Mus musculus: one gene and its partners. The protein of the gene in region 1 interacts with the protein of each later gene in a pairwise test. Links are inferred from orthologs where the notes say so. Each region holds a gene or a part of one and is shown in the gene's direction. Other genes may lie near its edges. The genes, in order: Arl6ip1, Snx11, Snx15, Snx12, Fxr2, Sucla2 and Spg21.

Evidence for each region.
Region 2: the proteins of Arl6ip1 (region 1) and Snx11 interact in binary tests that used the Homo sapiens proteins (3 or more experiments, as listed by UniProt). The two-hybrid records come from large-scale screens. The link is inferred for Mus musculus from reciprocal best matches to the Homo sapiens genes ARL6IP1 and SNX11.
Region 3: the proteins of Arl6ip1 (region 1) and Snx15 interact in binary tests that used the Homo sapiens proteins (3 or more experiments, as listed by UniProt). The two-hybrid records come from large-scale screens. The link is inferred for Mus musculus from reciprocal best matches to the Homo sapiens genes ARL6IP1 and SNX15.
Region 4: the proteins of Arl6ip1 (region 1) and Snx12 interact in binary tests that used the Homo sapiens proteins (3 or more experiments, as listed by UniProt). The two-hybrid records come from large-scale screens. The link is inferred for Mus musculus from reciprocal best matches to the Homo sapiens genes ARL6IP1 and SNX12.
Region 5: the proteins of Arl6ip1 (region 1) and Fxr2 interact in binary tests that used the Homo sapiens proteins (3 or more experiments, as listed by UniProt). The two-hybrid records come from large-scale screens. The link is inferred for Mus musculus from reciprocal best matches to the Homo sapiens genes ARL6IP1 and FXR2.
Region 6: the proteins of Arl6ip1 (region 1) and Sucla2 interact in binary tests that used the Homo sapiens proteins (3 or more experiments, as listed by UniProt). The two-hybrid records come from large-scale screens. The link is inferred for Mus musculus from reciprocal best matches to the Homo sapiens genes ARL6IP1 and SUCLA2.
Region 7: the proteins of Arl6ip1 (region 1) and Spg21 interact in binary tests that used the Homo sapiens proteins (3 or more experiments, as listed by UniProt). The two-hybrid records come from large-scale screens. The link is inferred for Mus musculus from reciprocal best matches to the Homo sapiens genes ARL6IP1 and SPG21.

Annotation. Positions count from the first base shown.
Region 1 is NC_000073.6:118,126,826-118,131,008, reverse strand, and holds the start of Arl6ip1 (ADP-ribosylation factor-like protein 6-interacting protein 1), read left to right. Parts: upstream 1-1,383; 5' UTR 1,384-1,504; coding exon 1,505-1,540; intron 1,541-3,741; coding exon 3,742-3,875; intron 3,876-4,183. UniProt on the Homo sapiens protein: Positively regulates SLC1A1/EAAC1-mediated glutamate transport by increasing its affinity for glutamate in a PKC activity-dependent manner.
Region 2 is NC_000077.6:96,774,756-96,779,028, reverse strand, and holds the start of Snx11 (sorting nexin-11), read left to right. Parts: upstream 1-1,473; 5' UTR 1,474-1,574; intron 1,575-1,967; 5' UTR 1,968-2,061; exon of another isoform or gene 2,062-2,125; intron 2,126-3,595; exon of another isoform or gene 3,596-3,655; intron 3,656-4,273. UniProt on the Homo sapiens protein: Phosphoinositide-binding protein involved in protein sorting and membrane trafficking in endosomes. Regulates the levels of TRPV3 by promoting its trafficking from the cell membrane to lysosome for degradation.
Region 3 is NC_000085.6:6,125,461-6,129,584, reverse strand, and holds the start of Snx15 (sorting nexin-15), read left to right. Parts: upstream 1-1,324; 5' UTR 1,325-1,437; coding exon 1,438-1,536; intron 1,537-4,124. UniProt on the Homo sapiens protein: May be involved in several stages of intracellular trafficking. Overexpression of SNX15 disrupts the normal trafficking of proteins from the plasma membrane to recycling endosomes or the TGN.
Region 4 is NC_000086.7:101,219,764-101,223,779, reverse strand, and holds the start of Snx12 (sorting nexin-12), read left to right. Parts: upstream 1-1,216; 5' UTR 1,217-1,218; coding exon of another isoform or gene 1,219-1,353; coding exon 1,354-1,518; intron 1,519-4,016. UniProt on the Homo sapiens protein: May be involved in several stages of intracellular trafficking.
Region 5 is NC_000077.6:69,639,471-69,642,970, forward strand, and holds part of Fxr2 (fragile X mental retardation syndrome-related protein 2), read left to right. Parts: intron 1-763; coding exon 764-857; intron 858-1,811; coding exon 1,812-1,883; intron 1,884-1,970; coding exon 1,971-2,119; intron 2,120-2,576; coding exon 2,577-2,670; intron 2,671-3,500. UniProt on the Homo sapiens protein: mRNA-binding protein that acts as a regulator of mRNAs translation and/or stability, and which is required for adult hippocampal neurogenesis. Specifically binds to AU-rich elements (AREs) in the 3'-UTR of target mRNAs.
Region 6 is NC_000080.6:73,593,715-73,596,644, forward strand, and holds the end of Sucla2 (succinate--CoA ligase [ADP-forming] subunit beta, mitochondrial isoform 1 precursor), read left to right. Parts: coding exon 1-51; intron 52-1,659; coding exon 1,660-1,734; 3' UTR 1,735-2,430; downstream 2,431-2,930. UniProt on the Homo sapiens protein: ATP-specific succinyl-CoA synthetase functions in the citric acid cycle (TCA), coupling the hydrolysis of succinyl-CoA to the synthesis of ATP and thus represents the only step of substrate-level phosphorylation in the TCA.
Region 7 is NC_000075.6:65,477,937-65,481,436, forward strand, and holds part of Spg21 (maspardin), read left to right. Parts: intron 1-2,442; coding exon 2,443-2,551; intron 2,552-3,500. UniProt on the Homo sapiens protein: May play a role as a negative regulatory factor in CD4-dependent T-cell activation.

The DNA of each region.
Region 1 (4,183 bases):
TTTAAAACAAAACTGCAGAGCCTTAATTGTGAGTGAAAGCTCTGAAAGAAGAAGAGTATTTGCAAAGATCTTCTTCATTTGCAGTGCCAAAGTTCTGAGGAAGATTTGTGTTACGAGCTTCATCTTCTGACACATTTCAAAAGGTCACTTTGTGGTAGAAAAAGAGGTGTTTGTAACCTCTGAGCCATTTGGAAGGTTAGTGAGAGCTGGATTGGGACCTGGGACTGGCCTAAACTTAAATTTTACTTTGGGAACACCGACTAAACTAAGCTTTCTGGGGCAGTAGCCAAGTTGCCAAGGAAAAACTTATTACTCTGCCCTCTCTTAGCAAAGTGACTGCTCCTGGTACCACCAAGATGGGCACCTCATTGCTTGGTAGCAGCTGTTTGGGTCCTTTTGTTCTCAATACTGAGGAGAAGGAGGGAATTCCAGGCTTTACAATTTTTGACATGATTTCTGTATCAACCGAAGTCATAATATCCCCCCCCCGCCCCGCCCACACACAATGAGCGTCCTTCCTGGTCAAAACTGTTGTCTGTACCTTCTAGTACTTTCCACAAGTTCTATGACAAATTGTATGCCCCTTTGACAGAGCCACCATAGGCCAGGAAGGGACCAGGCATATTTAGGAGCACTATGTGATCTCTCACATTTCTCTTTAACCTCCAAGGCCTTTAAAGAACCTGGGAATTAAGGAACGAAGTGTTTTTAAAAATAATTTAAAATTAGTTGAAGGTCGTATTTAGCCTGGCTTCCCCATACATCCATTAATCTATCAGTCTGAAGCCCTCCAACATCCGAATTGCTCCTCTACTCATCCATCCCTCCGAATGAAGCGCTCCCCTAGCTACCTGAAGTACTCATAGATTATCAAGTGAAGCACCCCGCAAATGATTCCCCCAAAAACTGGCTGCAAATGAAGCCCTTTAAGAGTTTGTGCATCTTCCATGTTCTCCAAAGGCCAGAGCTGGGGAGAAGGCACAGACAGCGCTCACTTGGGGCAGCCAATACTTCAGTCAGCAGGTGCCACAGCAACCTAAAGCGTCCTTGCCCTTCCAGCCTCCGCATAGGATGCCATTGCGCATCCCCTGCGCAGCTGAGCGGACAGGCGCCTGAGCGGTTTTGATTTCCAGCAGAAGAGCTAGGGACTAGAGAGGCCCCAGGATTTAGGAAGATCTGGGTGAGAGACTAGGTACGGCGGTTGAACCGCTTCCTTCCGCTCCGCCTCTCGAGGGCCACACCCCTGCACTCTGATTGGTCAGAGTCTTTCAGTTTCGCTCTCCTTTGACCTGGATTTCAAGTCATGCGCTAGCTGCCGGTTGGCCCGACTTCCCAGAAGCCGGAGTGCGGTCTACCCAATGAGGAGCGAGTTTCGCGAGGGCTGTCGGGAAAGGCAGCTAGCCTATATAAGCAGACTGCGGGGCGTTCCCCCGCGCTCGGGTTGCCTTGCTGGTGTTGGGGGGATAGTGTGTGTTCGCTCGTTGATAACCGCGAGTCTGGAACGATGGCGGAGGGGGATAACCGCAGCAGCAACCTGCTGGTGAGTTGCGGTGGTCAGTCTGTCCCCGGAGTTTCCGGATGGGCCTCCTGGCCTCGGTGGACTACCAGGGACAGCCAGGCCTTATCTCCACGGTGGAGGTCGCTGCTGGCGATCCCCAACGTCCCCCGGAATCCTGCACCATAAGGCTTGGGCCGTGCGTGAGGAAGTGTGAGAAGGGGGCTGTGGCAAGAAGGAACCTGGGTAACAGGTTGGGGCACTCGGCCGCCAGGGGCCTTGTCTAGCGCTCCGGCTCAGGCCGGAGACCTACCTGTTTTGCCCTTTGATCTTAATCTCATGTTCCGTAGATTATTTTTAATCATGATTCTTTTTCTCCTAAAACTTGGCGCAAGGGTGGAGGGTCAAAGGGCTGCTACAGAGAATTAGTTTATCGCTGACACAGAATTTGTTGGAGCTGGCTGGTTGGAGTTCACCGCAGGAAGCTGAAAACGGGTTCTGCGGAAAGGACAGTGGGGGATCCTGGCACTTGTCTGGGAACTGGCGAGGGACTCACGGGACTGGATGCAACTTTAAAAATGATTTAGCACGGATTTGACGGAGCTACACGAGATGATGGTATTAGAAGAGGGCGCGTTTGCTTCATTACAGGTCTTTGTTTTTGGTTAGGTCTTTGTTTTTGGTTTTTAAGGCTAGGTTTTCGTGTAGCTTGACGAGGCTAGCCTTGTATTTGTCATCCTCCTGTGCTGGGATTACAGTTGCGCATCACCAGGCCCTGCTAGTTTCAAATTTTTAACTGCATCACCCACCTAGGCAAGAACGAAAGATCTTTTTTTTTTTTTTTCTGTATTGTCATTCCCCAGAAAAGGCAGGCCATATCAGAAATGAAAAAAGCAATCAGCTTTTAATGCCTGCCTTTTTAACTGCTAAGTGCCGACAAGATTCTTCGGGACAGTTTTGATTAGTGCAAGATTTTCAGTTTGTATTTGTGTTTAGAGGTGCATTCCCTGTATCCTTAAATTCCCTACACACACACACACACACACACACACACACACAGTACCATACAATAGAGATGCTTACCCTGTACCCTTAAACTCCTCCTACACAATACCAGCAAACAATTCAATAAGAGGATTAATTGCTGTACAAGGAAACTATCATGGGAGAGGGCCTGATCACTACTATTTCCATCATTTTAAGGAGAGCAAGTCCATTAGTCTTGGATTTCCTGGATTTAAATATATTAACCCCTTTATGTCTCAGTCGCCTTATCTTAAAGTAGAGGTTGTGAGAATACCTTTTCCAGTTTTTTTGGAGCGTCAATTGAAGTATAACATGTAAAATGTTTAGGATTTCTAGTATGGGGAGATGTCAAAAGTACTTAGTCACATATCTCATCTTTATTAAAATTAGCCTGAACTGTTCTATATTTGCATATTCCTTTGTGAAGAGTTGATAGTGTCAGTTGGGCATTGTGTGTATGTAGTTCCTGGATGTTGAATCCAGAGTTCTGCACAAACAGGTTCTAAATACCTTCCGTTACCAAAGTCCCTGATAGGTTCAGGTCACAGTAGCCCATGGTAAAGGTGTGCTTTTGGCTAGTTGTCACATATGCAGAAAAATTTTGAGATTTAATTGAAATTCTATCATTAATGATGAGGAGCCATTAAGTGCTGAGCTCACATAGTTTGGTTGAAAGAGTTTTCTTTAATTCCACAGTGACTGCCAACATCAGAGTCATTCCATTATACAAAGCTATTTTAGAGATTTATGTACTTAGTGTTAAGGGAAAGGTTCTCCTGATGGATTTAGAAGGACTTCAATCAATAAAACGGCCAATCGACAGATCAATGCCAACCACCTGAAATGGGCAAACAGAATATTCAATCTAGTAATATTCTGAGCACTGCCTCTTGGCTCTGTGGCTGCATTTGGGGATATTAGTTTCCCATATTAAGCTCACTTTCATGAATATTGAAATAAATTGTGAAATCTTGGGAATATTATTATACATCATGGACATATGGCCCAGTGCTAAAATGACCATTAAAGCCTAGGCTTTTTCCTACCCATGGATTTTCATATTTGGTGCCAAAATTGCAGGTTTTCATGACTCACCTTGTTTAAGATAACAGTTTTGTAAAAGGCATTTTACGTGTTTTTGATGCCTGAGAAAGTACTCTCTGAGCCACCAAAGTGTTGAGATTGGCAAAGTAACAGTCTTAACTGTTGATCATGTGTAGGCCGTGGAGACTGCAAGTCTTGAAGAGCAGCTGCAAGGCTGGGGAGAGGTGATGCTGATGGCTGACAAAGTCCTTCGATGGGAAAGAGCCTGGTTTCCACCTGCCATCATGGGTGTGGTTTCCCTGCTGTTCCTGTAAGTGAGATTCTATTGCTAATGCTCAGAGGGTTCATAGCCTGTGCTTAGAGAAGCTTTTGTAATACATAATCCAAAAGGAATGCCTTTATTGCAAGCAGCTTGCCCTCTTTCTAGATTTGTAGTCCTTATGTAAAGTTGTAACTTGATGCAGTTGAGTAAATCCCGGACACGCAAACTCTTGTGTTTCAGCACTCTTGCTTTATTATATTCCTTCTAGTAAATTTTGAGGACCCAGCTGGGCGTGGTGGCGCACGCCTTTAATCCCAGCACTGGGGAGGCAGAGGCAGGCAGATTTCTGAGTTCGA
Region 2 (4,273 bases), on another chromosome or scaffold:
CTTCTAACTCCAGTGCCAGGAGATCTAAGGCCCTCATCTGGCCTCGTAGGGTTTCAGGTAGACACATGGTACACAACCTATTTATAGGCAAAACAGCTACAAAAAATAAAAATATTTATTTTTGATGTGTGTATGCCTCGGATCCATTGAAGTGGGAGTTGCAGGAATGTGTGAACTGTGTGAATTTGGGGGTCCTGAACTCATCTTCTGAAGCCATTTTGCCAACTCCTGTCTTGCTGTTTTTGAGGCAGGGTCTTAGGTAGCCCAAGCTAGCCTGAAACTCACTATATAGTTGGCGTTGGCCTTCAGTTCCTGCCTCTACTTCCAAGTGCTGGGGTTACAGAGGTAAAATTAACTTTTTTTTTAAAGACTTATTTATTTTTATTATATGTAAGTACACTGTAGCTGTCTTCAAACACTCCAGAAGAGGGAGTCAGATCTCATTACAGATGGTTGTGAGCCACCATGTGGTTGCTGGGATTTGAACTTCAGACCTTTGGAAGAGCAGTCGGGTGCTCTTACCAACTGAGCCATCTCACCAGCCCTAAAATTAACTTTTTAACAGATCAAGGAGGCTTTTCGTTTGTGTTTTCCAACAGCCTTACTCCGTATCCTAGAGCTCACTATATGTCTTTAATGGCCAAGTGTTAGGATTCTGGGCGTGAGCCACTTCCATTGGCTTAAGAGGACTTTAAGATATTTTTTTTTGTCTTTTTAAAAAAGATGTATTTATTTATTACATGTAAGTACACTGTAGCTGTCCTCAGACACTCCAGAACAGGGCATCAGATCTCATTACAGATGGTTGTGAGCCACCACGTGGTTGCTGGGATTTGAACTCAGGACCTTCCGAAGAGCAGTCGGGTGCTCTTACCCCCTGAGCCGTCTCTCCAGCCCGGACTTTAGATATTTCTATAGTAAGCATTTTCACCGGCTTTTTCTTGCTTACTAACTGTATGATCCTTCTTTGGGCTTGACAACTGTTGTCAACTTTCTCGTCTGCTGTTGGGATAATCTGTGGGTTTTCCAAATCAAACTGGCAGTGCCCTTGACAGTTTAGATGGGGAACTGCAACCTCTGAGGTTCAAACCCAGACTTTCGAGATCTTAGATCTTAGTAAGGCTTCAGGAACGCGAGAAACCTCCCACACTTACTGCTCTTTAACACCCTGAAGACGTTTAGGCTCCTAAGATGCTTTCGTCGGCCTTCAAACACGTTCCCTGAGCGCTGATTGGCCCGCCTAATGGCGGTGGGCGGGACACGGCACCGGAGTGGACTTTGCGGGGTCTCGGTCTTTGCGCTCCGCCTCCCGCGCCCCCTAGCGATTTCCGGAAAGATGCGGATTTCAGCTTAGGCCTGGGCGGGATGGAGAGCCTCCTCTGACCAGCGATCGCCACTGAGAGCCCTGGTCTTCAGGGGTGGGGCGTCCGGGACACTCAGGATTGGCCCGTCGGGAGCCGCCTCCCGTCGTGCACCGGGGCACCGGCGACTCACCCGGAAGGAGAAGCCGGTATCGGACTATATGGTGCGGTGCTGGTGGTGTCGCTGTGGAGAGCTGCTGCTGCTGCTCTCAGGTGAGGGGGCGTGGGCGTGGCCGCGGCTCGTAGGTGCTGCTTGGGAATGGGATGCTGGCTTGAGCCGTGGTGGTGGCATTTGAGTGATGGCCTCGGTTGACACACTAGGGAGGGGGCTGCCTTACTGCCTGGTATGAAAGTGAGGGCTTGCTGGGACCCAAGAAGAAAGGAAGCCTGGCTTTTCAATATACCTTGAAAATCGTCTTTCCGTCCCGATTTAGCCGGGAAAAGAGAAGGACCGTTGGGCTGGTTTCCATCTGAGTTTGCTAAAGAATGGAAAGGAGTGGCCGGAGTCAGAATTAGGGATGTCTACCCAAGTGGCCGGCAGTGGAAGGGAATGGCAGATATTTTTCGCAGATACTGGAAACTATGCTCTTCCTTTGTTACTTGCAGGTGAAAGGAGTGGGTTACCGACTGAAAAATGAGAACAGCTGCTTGATGGACGGGACAGGTTTTCTGTCAGGCGGAAGAGCTTCCTCGAACACCTGTGGGTATTTAGGAAGGCGAGGTTTTAGAATTGCTGTCTGTTGACACCAAAGGCTCAAGAACGAGTAAGGAGGGGCGGGAGACTCCTTGGTGCAATCTTTTTTACAGCCTGATGTGTTTTTTACGTGTCCCTTGAAGTAGTTTTAAGAGGCGGAGAAAATGAGAAAGCTTTGAATTGCTCCCCTGAATTAGCAGCTGTGAGCTTTACAATGCGTCAAACTTTGTACACACCAAACCCCTTGGCTCTTTCCCGGGACTATGGGTGCTGGTACTGCCGAGGGAAGCAGTGAGCGCTTCAGATGGGATGGAAAAGGCCCCGGGAATGTAGTTAGCATGGAGTAAGTTTCCTCACCTTTCGAGGTTACTTGACTCTGCCCTTCCTTAATGGATGCACAGATCCACCTCTTTGGACGGGTCATGGAGGTGAAGTTAAGAACTTGCTGTTTCTCCAGGAATAACGACTGAGAGTGGTGTCGTTGGGAAGGACAGTGATGAAGAGCAGTGGTTGTTGGAAACGGAGTCTGCTTTTTGCAGTCTCAGTGTCTTAGGGGAAATTGACCACCAGAACCTTCTTAGTGCCTTTTACGCTTAGCCTTGAGCCTACAGAGACCCAGGAGACTTGGAATGTCTTAAAAGACAGTTTATTTGTTTCTCTATGACATTAGCTCCAAAACAAAGGAGAAAAACTTCCACATGGGGGTGCTGCAGGCCCCTAGCAAACTCTTTATACCAAACGTCTGATGAACAGTTACTGAACTAGAGTCTTGAGTTTCACAGACTTTTCCAGGCAGAGTGGTGTGATCTCCCCTAAGTGGATAGATGCCTTTCTTTCTTGTCATCTTTTCTGTTGTACTACAAACACAAACCAAACCAAACAACAACAACAACAACAAAACCACTTAAGAATATTTAACTTTCTGTTCTTCCGTTGGCAGTTTAGCAAGCGCCTAAGAGGAGAAGAGAGGGGGAAATCCCAGCAGGCTAATTAATATTCACAGAAAGCCTGTTGGTTTTGGTCACAGATCTTTGTCTGTACCCGTCTGGACTGTCGGACTGGGTTATTGGGGAATTGAGATTTCCTGCCTTTCAGTCTAGGGCCTCTTGGAGGTGGTGACTGCTGCGGATGAAAAAAATCAGACTGTCAGCAAGAATGCTGTTTATTATGGTGTTGAAATCACAAAACCTCGGGTTTGCTCCACAGTTCAGCTCTGTTTTGTTATCTGCCATGCAGCTTTGTCCCCGCATGCCATGTCTGTCTGTAGAGAGACCTTCTGGGATATTGGGAAGAATTGCAAAAGCTGTTTGCTTTGCTAATTTCATGCCGTAAACGAGTTTCCCTTCCTTTGAAACATTAGCCCTATGTTAGCAAAACATAAAATAGACGGAAGCTCATTATGCACTCTGCTAATGGTAAGGCAGAACTAATAAGAGAATGTGTTTAAAATTAATTGTGGGACTGTAAAAAACGAGTGGGTGTGCGGATGGGCATGGGAGGAGGAGAGAGGGAGAGCTTAGAGAGAGCCTTGTTTTCCCAGGAGCCAGCCCGCATCATTTGTTGGCAGTACATATTGGCTGGAGTCAGTTTTCATTTCAAGGTAAATTGGAAAGGGAAATTAAACCTTATTGTTCTGCTCTTAAGAGAGAGGAAGGGGGTGGAGGCGGCAGCCAGGGTGGCTGCAGTTGGAGCGGCTCTAGGAGTAACAAGATTAGTGCTGTATTTTAACAGAAGGTGACATCATGGGCCCCTTTGGAATCCAGTAACCCTGTGTTCCAGCCTTCATGGTCCCCGTGTTGGAGTGGGCGATGTCGCTGTACGCATAAACTACCACACTGGGGGAAATGAGTGGCTTAGGCTTTAATGAATCTTTACAAAGGAGCGGAATGCATCCTGAGTTGACCTGAGAAGCTGTGGGGTGCTTGGGCAGAGGTACAAACCGGATGGCATGGCAGGATCGCAACTGATTGTAGTGGTTGGCTCCAGGTCTGGAGAGCTAGCTGGTCAGGGAAGGTGGTAAACTGTAGCTGGCCTCTTCACCCCTAGGAGCACCCACCTGTATGGAGGTGACTTTGGTTAGCAAGACGAAGAGAGATTGGTATTTGTAAGGACTTGGTTGTCTCTAAATAACCAGGAGGGGGTGCTGGTAGGCTCCTTTTCAAGGCTCTGTTCCACAAGATTGTTAAGCCACAGTTCTTGGGCAAAAGTTTTACAGTGA
Region 3 (4,124 bases), on another chromosome or scaffold:
CTATTTATTTATTATATGTAAGTACACTGTTGCTGTCTTCAGACACCCCAGAAAAGGGAGTCAGATCTCATTACAGATGGTTGTGAGCCACCATGTGGGTGCTGGGATTTGAACTCAGGACCTTTGGAAGAGCAGTCAGTGCTCTTAACTGCTGAGCCATCTCACCTCAGATTTTTTAATGGTTCTTTTTTTTAATGATTTATTTATTTATTATATTTACATATTTACATGTATTATATTTACAGCACACTGTAGCTGTCTTCAGACACCCCAGAAGAGGGCGTCATACCTCATTATGAATGGCTGTGAGCCACCATGTGGTTGCTGGGACTTGAACTCAGAACCTTTGGAAGAGCAGTCAGTGCTCACAACCGCTGAGCCATCTCTCCAACCCTTAATGGTTCTTTTATCCACTCTTTCCTATTTGAAGATGGGATTTCTGGTAGTGGTGGGATGTGCTGCAATCTATGTTTAGTGATAATCTTCCACACCAATTTGGCCTTGATCAATTGGTGTTGGGTTTTCGCTATCCCTGTGTTGTGCCAGCATGCCTCTTGATCTGATCTGTTACAGAAGATACTGTGTCAGGTACCACTTTCCATAGATGAAAAACTAGATGCATGCAGTTACAAGAGGGAAATGTAATGCTTACCAAGGATTTCAGCATTTGGGAGATGGAAATTGGAGGGTCAGAAATCCAAGGCCAGCCTCAACTACATAGAGAGTCTGAGGCCAAACTGGGCTACATGAGATCATCTCAACGTCCAACCTCCCCAAATTTGAAGCAGTTAAGGGGAATTCAAATACGTGTAAGTGTTGTGATTTCAGAGCCTCTGTCACTATCCAGTTTTTTCAGCATCAGAAAATGTCAGTGTGTGTCGTTCCCCCCACCCCCCAATCCGCACAGGGAGGCAGGGAACTTGGCTCTGCTAGGCACATTTTGAACACAATAAAAGTTGCATGGGTTAGACCCTATGCCAAGCACCTGAAGTTCCAGATACTCAGGAGGCTTAGGTAGGAGAATATTTTAAGCCCAGAAGTTGGTCAACACAGCAGAGATCTTAGCTTAAAATAATTCATAAATAAGAGGCTGGATGAGTGTAAAGAAGATAAATAAAGAAACGTTTCGGAGGTCTGTAAGGAGGGTTTACGTTAGGGGGAAGTGGGTTCAATCACATGCCAGGATGCCAGCTGGTAAATCCTCTCCCAAACAACCAATCCTTAGTCTCTACCTAGAACTCCGCTTTACCAATGACCTAGAACTTGTCAGACACTCCCTTAGCCACGCCCCCAAGCCAAGAACGGTTGTGTCACTTGCGACTAGGTCCCTGGGCCTGAAGAAGGGCGCAGGCCGGATCCTGGCAGTGGCAGTAGGCTCAACACGCGGGGAGCGGGGGCGACGTGCAGGAGGAGGAGCCGGCGACCGGCTCCGCTGTCATGTCGCGCCAAGCGAAGGATGACTTCCTGCGACACTACACAGTCTCGGACCCTAGGACCCACCCCAAGGGTTACACAGAGTACAAAGTAACCGCTCAGGTGAGGTGGGACCCAGCGGGGGAGCATTACCCTTTTAAGCAGCTCCGGATCCGTGCTGTACCTTAAAGGCAAAGAGCTTCAAGGAGGTCGCGGTTTGGCCTACACAAATAGATTTCCCCTTTAAGAGGCGCCTGAGACAGAAGATTTAAGGCGCCTCACCTCCTGGGGCGGGGCTAAGGGTCATTTTTTAAAGTCTGTGGAGCTTGGCTCTGCGCTTGGCCCGGTACCCCCTCTCTGTTGTTGGTGATGTCTAGATGCGGTCTACGAATTTCTCAAAGCAAGAAAACTCCGGATTAACCTAAATATTCCTTCTCTAATCGCTTAGAGTAACTTTTGGTAATTTTCCCTGCTTGATCCGTAAAAGCCCCACCACCACCTTTTTATTTATCTATCTTTTCTTTTTTTGAGACAGCCCTGGCTTTTGCGAACTCACGATGTAAACTAGACTGGCCCGGAAGTCACCGAGACCCTCCTGCATCTGCCTCCCAAGTGCTATGATTAAAGGCGTGCACCACCAGGACCAACTATAAAAAAAGCTCTTTAAAAGTTTAAATGTATGTGTGTGTGTATATACACATATACACATATAATTTTATTATACTATTTATATATTATATATATATAATTTGTGTGGTTTTAAAAACTCACGCAAAAAAAAAAAAAGACTGGTCTTAACAGATAAGGAAGTCAATAAGCTGAAATTGGTGTTTGTAACAATAAAACTTAGAATGAGCTCGTAGAAACATCAGCATGAAAGAATGCTTTTAGAATTTTACCCAAGGTAACTATGGAGGTCTCCAATGGGAGAAACCGGGTTGCTGCGGAAAGACTGACTATATATTTTCTTGTACTTAAATTTTTTTCAACTTGGCAACTGTTTGATTAGTGGCTTGTCGACTGTTAAAAGGAAGCAAACACATACAAGTCGCTCCCAAAGCAATCTAAGTCAGAGTCTTAGATACGTCAAGAGTGTTCCGGGGGTTTACTTTTTCATGCCAAAAAATACAAATATAATAATTGTCTCTAGGAAGATGCCGGAGGGTAGAAAGGATGACAAGGCATTCAGAACCCTTATGTCTTCCTGTTAGCCTTTTAGATCTAGTCACATGCCTTACACATGCATAGAGTTGTTTTTTTTTTCCAGTGCTAGGGTTGAACTCATGGCCTCCCACATTTTAGAGAACTCTCTCTCTCTCTCTCATTCTCATTCTCTCTCTCTCTCATTCTCTCTCTCTCTCTCTCCATGTCTCTCTCTTGCCACAGCACCCTACAAGATGATCCTTTTTTTATTTTATAGATTTATTTACTTAATTTTTTTCTTTATTTATTTCGAGGCATGTTTTTTCCCTGTAGCCCTGGTTGTCCTGGGACTTGTGTTGTAGACCAGGCTCAAACAGAGATCCATTTGCCTCTGCCTCCCCAGTGCAGCATCCCTAGGGATTAAAAATGTGTACTACCCCTCCTGGCTTATTTACTTAAAGATTTAAAACGTAGTTGTTTTTTTAAAAAACAAAAACATCTGTGCACTCTCCATGCAATACCAAAGGAGGCCAGAAGAGGGTGGTAGATCCCTATTGATTGGAATTACAAGCGCTTGTGTGCCCTCACGTTGGTGCTGGGAATAGAACTTCTGTCCTCTAGAAAGCAGCCAGTGCTCTTAACCTGAGCCATCGATCCAGCTCCAGATTTATTTAATTTTATATGTATGAATATTTTGCCTGTATGTATGTTTATGTACCAAATACAAGCCTGGTGAGATCAAAGGTCAAAAGAGGTCTTGAATCTCCTGGAATTGGACTTAGAAATTATTTCTATCTGCCATCTCAGTGCTGGGAACCAAACCCAGGTCCTTGGCTACAGCAGCGAGTGCTTTTACCTGCTGAATCATCTCTCCTTGTTTCTGGCTGATGTACGTGTCTGTGTGAATGTGTAGCACAACTGCGTGTGGATGCCTGTTGAGGTCAGAGGAAGGTGCATCAGATCTGATCCCCTGGAGCCAGAATTACAAACGATTATGAGCCACATAATGTGGGTACTGTTCTGGGCACTGAATGTAGTGCTTGGAAGATCAGGTCATGCTCTTAACTACCGAGCCACCCCTCCTGTCCCCATCCTTAGATTTTAAATGGGCATCTTAATCATGTCTGGTTTGCTGAGATCTAGAAAAAAAAAATGGAAAGGATGTTTTGAAAACTGTTGATTCTAAACTGTACAACCTTACTGTAAAACTCCCATAAGCATAATAGCAAAAACTAAGTGTTACTTCTGTCTCGGGCCAATTCTGTTCTTCCAGAGTGCCCAACCCCACTGCTAACTCTGTCTTCATGGGTATGAGACATTGTAGCTCCTCTCTTTTTTTTTTTAAAGATTTATTTATTTATTATATGTAAGTACACTGTAGCTGTCTTCAGACACTCCAGAAGAGGGCATCAGATCTTGCTACGGATGGTTGTGAGCCACCATGTGGTTGCTGGGATTTGAACTCCGGACCTTTCACCAGCCCGTAGCTCCTCTCTTAAGAAGAACTGGATCCTGGGACAGACTCTCATTTTTTTTAAATGATTTATTTATTTTTACTTTATTTTCTG
Region 4 (4,016 bases), on another chromosome or scaffold:
AATGTATGTTTAGCCGGGCGTGGTGACGCACACCTTTAATCCCAGCACTCGGGAGGCAGAGGCAGGTGGATTTCTGAGTTCAAGGCCAACCTGGTCTACAGAGTGAGTTCCAGGACAGCCAGGGCTACACAGAGAAACCCTGTCTTGAACTCCCCCCCCCCAAAATGTATGTTTAAGGACTACAGATATAGCTGATTTTGTAGAGCCTGGATTTGATCCATAGCACTGCACAAAACAGCATTTGGGAGAGACAGGCCGAAGGGTCCGATTTCAAGGTCATTCTCTGCTATAAAGCAAGTTTGAAAGCAGCCTGGGGTTCATGAGACAGTGTCTCAAAACTACATAAGAACCACAAAAATTCCTAGCTGGCCATGGTGACACTGAAACCCAGAGGGCTTGGCAGGAGCACTGCCACAAGTTCAAGGGAAGCCTGGACAGTTAGGATAAATGTAAGACTTTGTCTTAGTATGTACATAACATGTGCAAATACATTTTACACGTATGTAAATATGTTCTTCTGTAGATGTTCTCATGCAGACACATACTTTCATGAGAGGTTGCAAACAAGCTCACAGCATAGCCAAGTGCGGGTTCTGCAGCATATAGACAGAAGTTATGAAGTAAAGATCCTGAAATTTGTTAAGAAATGAATATGCCTGGAATTAGTTGTTATGTAGCAACATGTGGGGCATGAAGATACACCCACTATTCCTGAAAAGTGAGAACATGAAATCTTTATTGTTTACGCAATTCGTGTTTACTGATTCCCGGGCACCACAATGTATTGCTTACACTTGCGTGTAGCTTGAATTGAAACTATCAGTGGCACAAGTAGTAAGCCTGCAGTCTACGTTTTTTCTATTATTGTTGGAACCCCACCTTCCAGAAACCATTCTATTTTCAGGGAAAATCCGGACTTAAGGACCTGGGGTTTCGGCCTATCACCTTAGGATAATAGCTTGTGGGGCAGTGCCCACTGCTTGATTGATGCACGGGGTGAGCCAATTTCTTGGGTTGAGGGACACAGATTGGAGGAGCATGCGTGTGGTGCTTCTCAAACTACTGGGGCAGTGAGTATTGGAGATGCAGGTTCCGGGGCTGCTACCAGTACCACCCGGAAGTCTGAATGACGCTTGCATTATAGAGTACCAGCCCTAGTCTGCATGGCAACTATTCAGAGTGAAGGGCCCGAGGCTCGGGCGGTGTGTGCGTGCGCGCATGCGTGCGCGCGTGCGCGCCGCCGTCGTCTGGGGGTTGGCTGGTTATTTTGCAAGCGGGAGGGGCTGTGCGCGCTCTTGCCTCAGGCCTCTGTCCCCCACCCCCTTCGCCGGTACCGGGCTCTTCTTCGGAAAGATGTCGGACACCGCAGTGGCTGACACTAGGCGCCTTAACTCGAAGCCCCAAGACCTGACCGACGCTTACGGGCCGCCCAGTAACTTCCTGGAGATAGACATCTTTAATCCACAGACGGTGGGCGTGGGCCGCGCGCGCTTCACCACCTATGAGGTTCGCATGCGGGTGAGTCACGGGGTGAGGGAGACAGCTGAGGGAGGACGGAGCAGGAGGGGAGGGGGCATGGGGACGACTAACGGCGGGCCGCCTTGGAGGGGTCATGTGAGGGTTAGGGCTTGGAAGGTTTGGAGAGGAGGCTGCAGACTCAGCTGTGGCCCGAGGGTACAGAAAAGTCCAGAGGGGACTTGGGGCGGGGATGAAGGAAAACAAGTACTTACAAGGAAGAAGTGAGGCATGGCTGGACAGGGTGTGGACGATGGACAAAGATTAGTGAGGAATCCAAGTAGACTAGAACATGATTGACAGGACGGGAGGGGAGGATGGAAGAAGGCTGGGGGATGGAAAGCCAAGGCGATGTATCGCTGGGTTCTATAACTAAACTAGGTTATGGGAAGCCATTCTAAAGGGGGGAGGGCAGGAGGGCTCAGCTTCTTCCTAATAAGATCTCTCTGGGATGATGGAGTTAAGCAAAACCTTTAGTTCAAGGCAAGAGTGAGTGAAGGAAAGGGAGACAGTGGGCTTATGGGAGCAGTAGAAAAGCAATTTGCAGACAGAATGCTTTGCTGACTTGTGTAAGATTGACATCTGCAAGAGAGAACTGTTTTATGCTTAAGTTTCTTAGGTACCACAATGTCATGTCTCACGTGAAACCCGGCCCTGCACCGGGATTGGGGATTGTCAGCTGCTGCTCCCATCCTCTGCTAAGCCTTTAGATGTGAAGTATCCACAATGGTGACTTCAGGTTTTATTGGCGTTCACTTAGGGTTTATGGGAAAGGCAGCATTTGCCTTGTCTTCCCCTAATCTGTAGTTACTTTAATACATGACATTTCAGAAGGGCTCCAGGAATGGCTTCTTCTAGTCTGCACCCCAGGGGACTTTATTCTCTTACTCCACAGTGCTTAGTCCACAGTGCAAGATATAGTACATGGTTCACAGGTATTTTTTTTTTTTTTGCCCAGTTGAAATGGTACAGATTAAAAAAATTTAAGAACCATTTTTTCTTTTTTACTTGTGTTTTCTTCTCAGGTTAGAGATGCAGGATATTCTTTTCGAACAGTATCTCTTTTGAATAGCTTTGAAGATCTATGAGTCATATGAAGTTCTCATTTTTTTAAAAAGATGAATTGAATTAAGAATGTTTGTTCTACCTGTGCCTGACAATCTTATGGAGCAATGGCACCCTCTCAATTGAGAGGGGGCAGAAAGCCATCACAGCATGAAGCACAACTGTTTTTATGGAGGCTAGACTATTTGAAATGTTCTCTTTGGAGAAGGATGGGATTTATCTTCTTCAAACTGATAGAAGAGAGGTGATCATGGAGGAAGGCTTGACTACTCAAGGGACCCTAAGTCTAACTTGTTCAGTGTAAAGAGTGCCTTTAGGGTCTGTTCACCTTGTCTAGGTGCATAAGAACCTTAGGGATTAGTAAGGAAATAGTTCTCTAGGAATTCTGATAACAGAGACCATCCAACTAGTCCCTACTATGGGCCAAGCCCAAACTAGGTTTTAGTTTCTTTAAAAAAAATTTTTTTTTGATACCAAGTTTCTCTGTGTAGCCCTGGCTGTCCTGGAACTTGCTTTGTAGATCAGGCTGGCCTCAAACTCAGAGATCCACCAACCTCTGCCTCCCACATGCTAGGATTAAAGGCATGTGTCACTTTGCCCATCTAGGTTTTATTTTTTTGTATACCTTTTTTAAAAAACAGAAATCAGGAAAGCATGCAGTTTCTGTAATTTCCCCAAGTACATGTAATGTATAAGACCTCTGGATTTGAAACCAACTCTCTGACTCCAAAGTCCATGCTCTTTCCACGACCTTGTTAAACTTTAGTTGCAAAACTTAGTATGCAAAATGTACACTGAGACTTTGTTTTGCTTTGAGACAGGGTTTCTCTGTATAGCTCTGGCTGTCCTGGAACTCACTCTGTAGATTAGGCTTTCCTGGAACTCAGATCCACCTGCACCTGATTTCCAAGTGCTGGGACTAACCCGTATACTCAGCATTTTCCTCAGTGTCTTCCACAGTTCCAGTTATACAATGTTGATTGGAGTTCTTGGTGCTTCTTTATTTTGTGGGTTTGAGTTGATTGGAGGCTTTGGCTGTTTTATTGAACTCTAGTGTTTAGAAAGGTACTAAAATCATTTGTCATTTGTATTTATTTTTCTGGTCCTGGAAATTTAATTCAGGCTGAACACATACTCCTCATTGATCCTACCCCTTCAGCTCCTTTTTATAAATATTGATGAAGCTATTCTCTTTAATTTTATTCAGGAATGGATCCTGCCTGCCTGAGGAGTCTGGAGAGGTGCAATGGTGGCCTCACGTCATTGTACATATGGACATTTCAATGTGGACTTGAATTTTGTGTTTTCTTTCTCCTTTCACTTTATTTTCACTAATTATGTTTCTACTGTTTAAGGAACACAATATCTTTAGTAAATACTAGTACAAATCTATAATCCTATGATCCTAAATGTCTTTTTTTTCCTCTTAGGGGATT
Region 5 (3,500 bases), on another chromosome or scaffold:
TATCACTAGGCCCTAAAGGAGGGTGAGAGGAGAGACTGCTGAGGTCTGTGAGGCCTGTAATAGATGGCAGAGAGCTGAGGGTTTAGATGGAAATTCTAAGAAAAGAAGAGCAGATAGCTTGGTGCAAGTTTTGGTCACTTGATAGTTGGTAGCAAGGATAAAAGACCACTATGGAACAGGATCTGGTGTTTTGACTTTTTTTTTTTTTTTTTCTCGAGACAGGGTTTCTCTGTGTAATCCTGGCTGTCCTGGAACTCACTCTGTAGACCAGGCTGGCCTCGAACTCAGAAATCTGCCTGCCTCTGCCTCCCGAGTACTGGGATTAAAGGCGTGCGCCACCATGCCCGGCTTGGTGTTTTGACTCTTTACCAGGAAGAATAAAAGTGGTCTGGCTGGGGGTGGGGTGGGGATAGAGGATTTTTGGAGGGGAAACTAGGAAAGGAGATAACATCAAATAAAGAAAGAAAACATCTAATTAAAAAACAGAAAGAAGCAGAGCAGTGGTGGCGCATGCCTTTAATCCCAGCAATTGGGAGGCAGAGTCAGGCGGATTTCTGAGTTTGAGGCCAGCCTGGTCTACAGAGTGAGTTCCAGGACAGCCAGAGCTACACAGAGAAACCCTGTCTCAGAAAACCAAAAAAAAAGAAAAAAAACAGGAAAAAAATGGAAAAAAAAAAAAGTGGTCTAAGGGAGTAACCCCCTTGTGAAGAGGTGGACAATAACATCAATCTGAATAGCTTTCATGTCACTGTTTGTCCTATAGCTGGCAGAGTGAGAGACAGATTCCCTTTGGGGATGTCCGACTACCGCCTCCAGCTGACTACAATAAGGAAATCACAGAAGGAGATGAAGTAGAGGTAAGGACTGTGAGGTCCACCTTTCCAATGTTTGCTTTATTAGGAACCTTGGTTTTTTACTTACTGATTGTGTTCTTTCCTTTTCTGAGCCACCGTGTCTAGCCATGTAGTCAGTGAGTAATGTAGCAGTGCCTTTCTATCGTGGCTGTGACCTGGGGGCACCAGCTTTAAAGGATCTGCTTCTTCATTTGTCACAAATGCACTTAAAGCCTAACTCCTACAGTTCCAATATATATGTACGTGTGTGTACAAGGGGTGGGGGGTTTGGTTCCTGGGGATTGAAACCCAGGCCTTGGGCATGTAAGGCACGCATTCTACCACTGAAATGTATCTGCAACCCCAGTTTCAGTACTTGGAGGCTGAGGGAGGAGACTCACTTAAGCCCAAGAGTTTTTGATTGTTCTGGTCAATATAGTGAGACTTCCATCTCTCTCTTTCTCTCTTTTAAGATTTATTTATGTATGTGAGTACAGTGTCACTGTCTTCAGACACACCAGAAAAGGGCATCAGATCCCATTACAGATGGTTGTGAACCACCATGTGGTTGCTGGGAACTGAACTCAGGACCTTTGGAAGAGCAGTCAGTGCTCTTAACCTCTGAGCCATCTCTCCAGCTCAAGACCTCCATCTCTTTATCTTTTTTCCTTAGTGTGAAGTAGTGTGTGTGTGTGTGTGTGTGTGTTTGAGGGGCATGAGTGTTCCACAGCTTAGGAGTGGTGGTCATGACCTGTGAGCTCTGGGACTTGAACTCAGGTCGTTGGGCTTGGAGAACTCTTGCCCACTGAGCAAAAAAAAAGTGAAATAAATAAAACTCAGGGACCCCATACTTTGAGTTGGTATCTCCTTGTTTCCTCTTGTGGGTTTACGAATGCTTGGGTATTTGGATGCTTTCTCCAATTCTTGATATTTTTGGATAGTCTTCAATGCCATTTCTCTTTATTTCTCCTCTTTCAGGTCTATTCGAGAGCCAATGAACAGGAACCTTGTGGCTGGTGGCTGGCCCGGGTGCGGATGATGAAGGGAGATGTGAGTGACTGAAGCCCTTTGGGGAATTCCTGAGACTGTTCTTTTGTTCCTGAAAAGGTAATATACATTCTTTCTCTTTTCTGCCAGTTCTATGTCATTGAGTACGCTGCCTGTGATGCTACCTACAATGAGATTGTCACTCTGGAACGACTTCGGCCAGTCAATCCCAGTCCCCTTGCAACCAAAGGCAGCTTCTTCAAGGTTACCATGGCTGTGCCTGAGGACCTCAGGGAGGCGTAAGTGTTGGAGAGGTTGGGGATTAGAGACTTCCACAGTGCCAGCTCTGTCCTCGTTTCTCCAGGTCTTCCACTCTTCACTCTGCCCTGTTCATCCTCTGGCCTGTGAGGACCTTTTTACATGCTATGCCCATAACCCTCCCATTTTTCATCGTTCACTCTCTCTTTTCCTGTCTGTCTGTGTTTTGTTGGTTTTGAGATGGCCTCACTACACAGCTATGGTTGACCTAAAACTGTAAACCAGACTTGCTTTGCAGTCACAGAGCTCCTCCTGCCTGTGCCTCCAAGTGCTGGGACTAAAACCGTGTGCCACTGTGCCTTGCTGTAATTATTTTACAAAATGATTTTCTTAAGCCCTGTTTTTTTAGCAGGGGTTCTACCTCTCTGGTTTTCTCCTCCCCGCTTGTTCCCGGGCTTCTTGTGCCCCCTTTCCTGAGCATGTTACTTTTTTCTGCAGCTGCTCCAATGAAAATGTCCATAAGGAGTTCAAGAAAGCACTGGGAGCCAACTGCATCTTTCTCAACATCACAAACAGTGAGCTCTTTATTCTGGTGAGTTTCATGCTTGAATTTAACAAGCCTACTCAACAGTTTTTCCTTTTTTACTGCTTAAACTTTTAGAAAAGTGGATATATGGCTTTTGCTCATGCTCGACTATGTTCATGCTTACTTTATTCCTTCTGATACTTCTGGACCAGGTAGCCTTTCCTTTCCTTAATTGTCCTTATGTATGACTTTAATTTATTCCTTCTCTTCTTTTTTTCCTATGCTAGAAATTAAACCATGATTTTCACACACCTATGTGCTCTAGACAAGTGCCTTGCCATTTAGCTGTTGTACCCCAGCCCTTGGATATATTTGGATCTGTGTGTGTATATATTTGCATGTATATAGGTGCACGTCTGGGTTGGAAACCCTTAAGTGTTGGTATCCGATATCTCTTAATCATGATACACTTTACAAGGCGGCTTATCTTCACCTAACCCAGAGCTAGCCAACTTTGGCTAGCCAGCCAGCTCTGGGGGTTCCTGTCTCTCCCTTCTCCGTGTATCTCACAACCACCAATAACTCCAGTTCCAGGGCACCTGACACCCTCTTTTGGTCTATGCACCTATGTTCATATAACATGTTCACACACAGAGAGATGTACATAAATAAATACGTGGGTTTTTTTTTTTTTTTTTTTTTTTTTTTTTTTGAGACTGTCTGCTGTAGACCAGGCTGGCCTCGAACTCAGAAATCCACCTGCCTCTGCCTCCTGAGTTCTGGGATTAAAGGCTTGTGCCACTACCTCTCTACCTGCTATAAATATTTGAAAATGAAACAAATGTATATCTCTCTTCTTGCTCCTTATTGTCATATGACTCCTATCAGTATTTAGC
Region 6 (2,930 bases), on another chromosome or scaffold:
AGTGGTCTTAAAATCCTTGCTTGTGATGATTTGGATGAAGCTGCTAAAATGGTAAGTGGGCTCTAATGAGCCAAGGCATTTATAGTGTGGAAAGGATCTAGATAGCTTTAGATTCTAAAATGAGCCAGCCAAGTAGTAATATTAGTACTTCAGGAAAGCAGGCTGAATTCTGGGGAGTGACAGCAATAGATACGAATACTGTTAGGATGGGGTTTGCAGTGGGGGATAAAAATTGTACTCAGCCTCATACAACAAGGAAAAGCAGGACTTTGTATTCAAGGATCCAGATGGCTAGTTGGCAGGTGGGAAATTAAAAACAATGCAACTAAGGGGACATTCAGACTGGGCAGTGCAGAAGTGTTTGGAGGCAGTGAGAACTTACAGATTCTTTTTCAGAAACTCGTATACACCCCCATGTGCAGCATTTTATACTTCTCAATCATATATATGAAGTGAATTAGTATGATGATGTAAAGAAATTACTATTATTTTAGTGGAATACTGGCGTTCTGATTGTGAAAGTTCAACTATTATTTTGTACCATCTAGGTTCTTTGTTAAGCTTGGTGTCAAACTGTATGCACTGCAGTTGGGTAATATGCAGCTATGTTTCTTAAGCTATAGCCCTCCTGGTTTGTTGGACCAGTACTATGTTATGGTCCTGTACAGTTTCAGTCTGGGTTTAACGAGTGTAACCATCATCTGCTTAGCATGCTCTGTCCTCTGTATTCTCTCCTAAACTGGAAGTTCAGTCGGTAGCCTTGACTGTTTGATAATACTTCCCCTTCACACCCTGCAAGGATCCTCCTGGTGGTAAAGTTTCCATGTGTATAGATGAAGAAATAGGCTATCTAAATTCACTCATTTAAAGTCATATATGAAGAAATAGGCTATCTAAATTCACTCATTTAAAGTCATATACCTCTAACCCCATACTACTTTCTTTCTTTTTTTTTTTTTGTAACTACTCTTAGAGTGGAGCTGAATTTTGTTTGTAGACATGTCTAATTTGTATGACATTTTGTATGGAAACAGATAGGTATTCTCATATCATACAGAGCATTGGAGTTTTTGTTGGTTTTTGTTGGTTTCCTCGCAAAAGATTGCCTTACGCCAGCAGTTTTTATGTATATGAGTACACTGTAGCTGTCTTCAGACACACCAGAAGAAGGCATCAGATCCCATTACAGATGGCTGTGAGCCACTATGTGGTTTCTGGGAACCGAACTCAGGACCTCTTGGAAGAGCAGTCAGTGCTCTTAACTGCTGAGCCATCTCTCCAGCCCACACCAGCAGTTCTTATATCTAAACTCCTACCCCAATACCAGATTAAGCTTGTAAGCTTTTTCCAGGTAAGCTTTAGTTATGCTCTGAATTATGGGCTGTCTTGAAAGGATACTCCTTGTTTGTGTCCTCAAGGTAAAATTTAGGTAATACATCTAGTTATATATTTTTATCAGGGCATATTTAATTGAATTATAGGTTATGGAGAATGTCAAACTTGACAGTCTTGTGTCAGTTCTTACTAGACTATAGTGTAACTTGTAACAATGTCAGAATAGCCCTACTATTTTAAATGGAAACGATTCTGTCTTTTGCCTTGGTTTATAATGGTTCACCTTTTTATGAACATACAGATATGCCCTGTTCTCTCTTTCAGGTTGTAAAGCTCTCTGAAATAGTGACCTTAGCCAAAGAAGCCCATGTGGATGTGAAGTTTCAATTGCCAATATGAGCAAGACCTTGGTGGATGGCTACGGGTATTAATGTGCTGTAATTCTTTATTATACTGTGGTCTCTCCTAGTGTCCCTTTTCTTTTAATGTGTGGAGAATGTAATCACCACATAGGCACACATACCTTTGAAAGCATTTGCTCTGCATCTGATTCTGCTGCTGAGAATGGACTGTTTATATAAAGAATGTCTGATATAAACTTACGGTGGTCTCTTTTCTTGCAGCCATCTTTTTTTGCTTCCTCTACAGAATGTCACTTGCAGTATGCCTGCTTTCTGGTGTTGGATACAGAGTTCTTCATTGATAAGAGTTCTATAAATAAAATTACTACAAAGATAAAGCTTTATTCTTTAGTATAAAAATATATCTAATAACAGCCTCATTAGGACAATGGTATGTTATAACAATGTTTTATATAAGAAATATTTATCTTCAGCATCAAATGGCTCTTAAATGTATCAATCATTATTTATACATAGAACTTGGAAGCACTCCTCAGAACATCTTTTAAGTATTTTAGAGAAGTAACTTGCTGATTATTTGAACATCATTTTAATTATTACAGGACAATGATAAGTGCAAGTCGTCATGATTCTGTGGTGGTAAAAACACACGCAGATTGATAAGAAAGGCACCTATTAAGACTTGGACAAAACTAGAATGCCAGCTTAAGTCAATAAAAGTTTCCTAATGTAATTTGGAGTTATGGGTTTTTTTTTTCTTTTGAAGTAACAGGTGTTCATTTTATTAATTGGTCTAAGGATCCGGTTTATAGATCATACAACTGGACATGGCAGTACATATTCTAAAGCTTTAGAAGTCTTGTTTGCAGATCTACTGTCTGCTACATACTGTTATTTCTTTCACCTGCATATTTGTACCTTTGACTCTGGGGGTATGAGGTGGGGATGCCCTGTGGGCTGCTTTCTTAAAAATCCCTGAACACATGAAATCTCAGATTTATAGTTAGGGTAGAGTCCTGTGCACTACTGTACTTCCTATGGAGAATATAACACATTTTAAGTGTGTTTGCATGGGTGACTTCGGGGATAGGCTTTCTGGCCTCCTGGACCAGGCAAGCCGTGACTCCAGTGCATGCAAATCCCTCGGGTACGGCACCTCCAGCAGGTGCGCGTGCTTGGGAGAAGAGTCAAAACAAGCAGTGCCCAGGCAGCACACGGAAGCTGTTGATGCTT
Region 7 (3,500 bases), on another chromosome or scaffold:
TTGGCAAAGCTCTGTTGAGCAGGTCCTGCCACCTACATGCAAATAGTTCTTGGGGTTATTTTCTCCTGGAACTGTGAAAAGGGGTCCCTGAAATCTCCAGGAGCAGGAGCTATCAGCAGGGTAAACGGCATTAGGCGTGCAGGTTCTCAGCAAGTCCATTCCCCATGCTGATGGTATGTGGAGTCTTGCAGGATTTTATATTTATATGTATTAATATTTTTACTTTCACCTTTTTTTTTGATAGTTCTCACTAAACTCAGACATCTGCCAGCTTCTTTCTCCCAAGTACTGGTATTAAAGGCTCATTTCATTATGCCCAGCTAATAAACCACTTACACATAAAATGAATAAGTCTAATTACAAAAAGACATGAGGCTTTGTCCCTTCTTCTCTCCAAGGGCGATCTGATGAGGATCTTTGCCCCTTCTTTTAAGGCAATCTAACTGGGAATTGAATTTTGTCTTGTGTGAGCCCTGTCTGCACCCAACTCAGGGCTGTTGTTACCTATCTCGGTGACTTCAGGTTGTTCAGCTGGACTTTGGTGCTGAGCATGTGGGATAGGTAGGCAATCTTGTCCCTGAAGGGAAATAGGCACTTCAGCGTGAGTTCCAGGACAGCCAGGGCTACACAGAGAAACCCTGCCTCAAAAAACCAAAAAAGAAAAAGAAACTGTGCTTGGGGCAGAATTCTAGAATAGCATTCTGAAGGTTACAAAAGAATGCCACTGCCTTTCCCAAGACTGTCATCAGGAGAGTAGCCTGTAAAGTGTTTGATGTTGTTGCTGTTGTTGTTTGGGGTTTTTTTGCTCTCGCTACCTAATATTTCAGTTCTGAACAAATAGTACTGGTACCCAGCAGGAAATCGTCATTGTTGGCTGTCAGATTTACCCAGGACTCATATGGGGCCGTTTGTAGAGTGCTGTAAGTTCCTTGCATCTTTCTGTATCTGCGAACCTCCCAGTCTTTTTCCTGTCCCTGTACCTTCACATTAGAACTCTCTATTCTGCTGTTCCTTTGCCTCGGGCATCTTAGTATTTGGAGAGACCCTTTTCCTCCAGTCTAAGGCAGCAGCCAGCAAGGAGGCATCCTGTGTCTGCCTCCCTCCTCCTGCAGTTGCTCTGTATTGTTAAACATCATAAGTGTTACATCACGTCCCCCAGAACAGGTTTGTACGAAACGCTCCCTCCATCCTTTATAGATTTCTCTTATTCTGCTTTTGGGGTGAGAGAGGATGTCACGTGTCTGGAGGCAGAGATTGGCCGCCAATATCTTCCTCTATCACTGTCTGTCTCACATAGAGGCAGAGGCTAGAATAGCTATTCTAGCTCGCCATCTTGCTCTGGGAATTCCCTGCCCTGCCCTCCTACACGCTCCCTGCACTCAGGCACTACAAATGTGAACTCCAGCCCTGTGCTTGTGGAGCAAGCACTTTACCCTGTGACCCATCTTCCCAGCCCTGTTTTGCGTCTGCCTGGCCCAACTGCCCAGCTTCCTTGATCTCGGTTTCTTCTTGTGAGTTTTCTTTCACAAGCTTTCTGTTATTGGTCTGGTGTTTCTTTGCCTTTCATGTACCGTTTGGAGCAATCTAACCGTTCTACTTTAGGACAAAATATTTATTATCCCAAACAAACTGTTTTTAACTTTCCACACTATGAAATGTCTTCATACTTGTACCTTTCCTTGCATTTCTTTCATGTTTCCTGCTTCCTTCCTTGAAATACAGATCATCAGGCCATGTGTGCTGGTGCATGCCTTCAGTTGTGAAGCAAGAGTCAAGGTCAGCCAGGCTATATAGTCTCAAAACAAAACAGTAACAACAAAATGACATTTTAAAATAAACTTTACAGAAATACCTAAATTTAGACAATGTTTTCAGTAAAATGTATTTTATGATTTTATAATGTTTTCATCAGAATGCAGCTCAACTCCTTTTTGTAGTCTTTGTTTATGTAGAATTTCATGCTAATTCCAATCCTAACTCTTAGTGACCTCACTTTTGGATTAAGGTCAAGAATTAAGCAACCCTAAACTCTTTCTCTACATACACACAGTTTAGGAAAAGTTGTTTATTAACAGATCCAAACATATTTTTACCTTTCCTAATAGATTCAAGATATGCCACTGCTAAGATTTACCCCGCTCTTGTAAACCTAAAGACCTCTAGTTTAATGATCAGTTCCATTTTATTTAAGCTTTCATTTATCTGTAAGCCAACTTGAAGAATTCTTGGGATTTTTTTTCTTTTTTAGTCATCCTCTCCCTATGCCCTCCTTCCCCCCCACACACCCCACACACCCTCTGGTTTCAGACTCACACTGGTTGTTGGGCTCAGAAGAGAGTTCTGCCTTCCTCTGGATTCCAGGAGTCCTGCTGTGTGGAGCTTCAGTGATGACCTCACTCTCCATGTCTGTGTCAGTCACGGGCCTCTCCCCTTGTTTTGCAGCTTCTGGTTGATGCCAGCGTTTATGCTCAAGAAAATCGTTTTGGGGAACTTTTCCTCTGGCCCAGTAGACCCGATGATGGCTGATGCCATTGATTTCATGGTGGACAGGGTAAGGATCATGACCATCCTTGAACACTTTCCCTGGGATTTTCTGTGCACATGCAAAAGGAGGTCCATCATCTATGGGTGTGTCGGGGAGGTCTTTGTGGAGCAGTGCTGTGTTAACTGTAGTACTTCAGTCAGACCCTACTGCTAGTGAGGCCCCTAGCTCCCTCAGTGCTTCCCAGTAACTGCTGCACATTCAAATCCAACAGGACCTTAGGAGAGTAATGCTTGCCGGGGCCTAAATTCAGTAACCTGGCACTTGGGAGGCAGAGGCAGACAGATCTCTGTGAGCTCAAGGCCAGCCTGGTCTATGAAGTGAGTTCCAGGACAGCCAGGGCTACACAGAAAAACCTGTCAAAAAAAAAAAAAAAAAAAGAAAAGAAAAAGAAAAGAGCTAATTAATGAATTATTTTAAGAGGCTACAGAGATAACTTAGTGGTTACGAACACTGTTGTTCTAGAAGATGTGAGTTTAGTTCTCAGTGTCACCTGTGGTAGTCACTGAGGGCACCATCTTATAAACTGGAGAGAAGGTTAAGGGCATGAACTGCCCTTCCAGAAGACTCAAATTGGGTTCCCTGAACCCATGTCAAGCAGCTTACAACTACCTGAAATTCCACTTCAGAGAATCCATCACCGTCAGCTGGCCTCACAGGCACCTGCAATATAAGTGTAAAATTAAATTTGTATTTAAAAGTAATTTTCTTTTCAGCCTGGCTATGGTAATTATGCCTGTGACCTCAGTGGTTGGGAGGCTGAAGCAGAAGGGTCTCCATCTTGAGGCCAGCCTAGATGTACAGCAAGACTGCCTACAAGGACAGCGGCTTCCAAGGCCTCACACTAGACGGTGCATCTGGCTCCTCTAGGGTGGGGAGGGGTTTGGCTTTTTGAGAGGAGGTATCTTGTGGCCTCAGCCTTCACCTCCTGAGTGTTGGGTTGCGGGCCTGTGCCGCC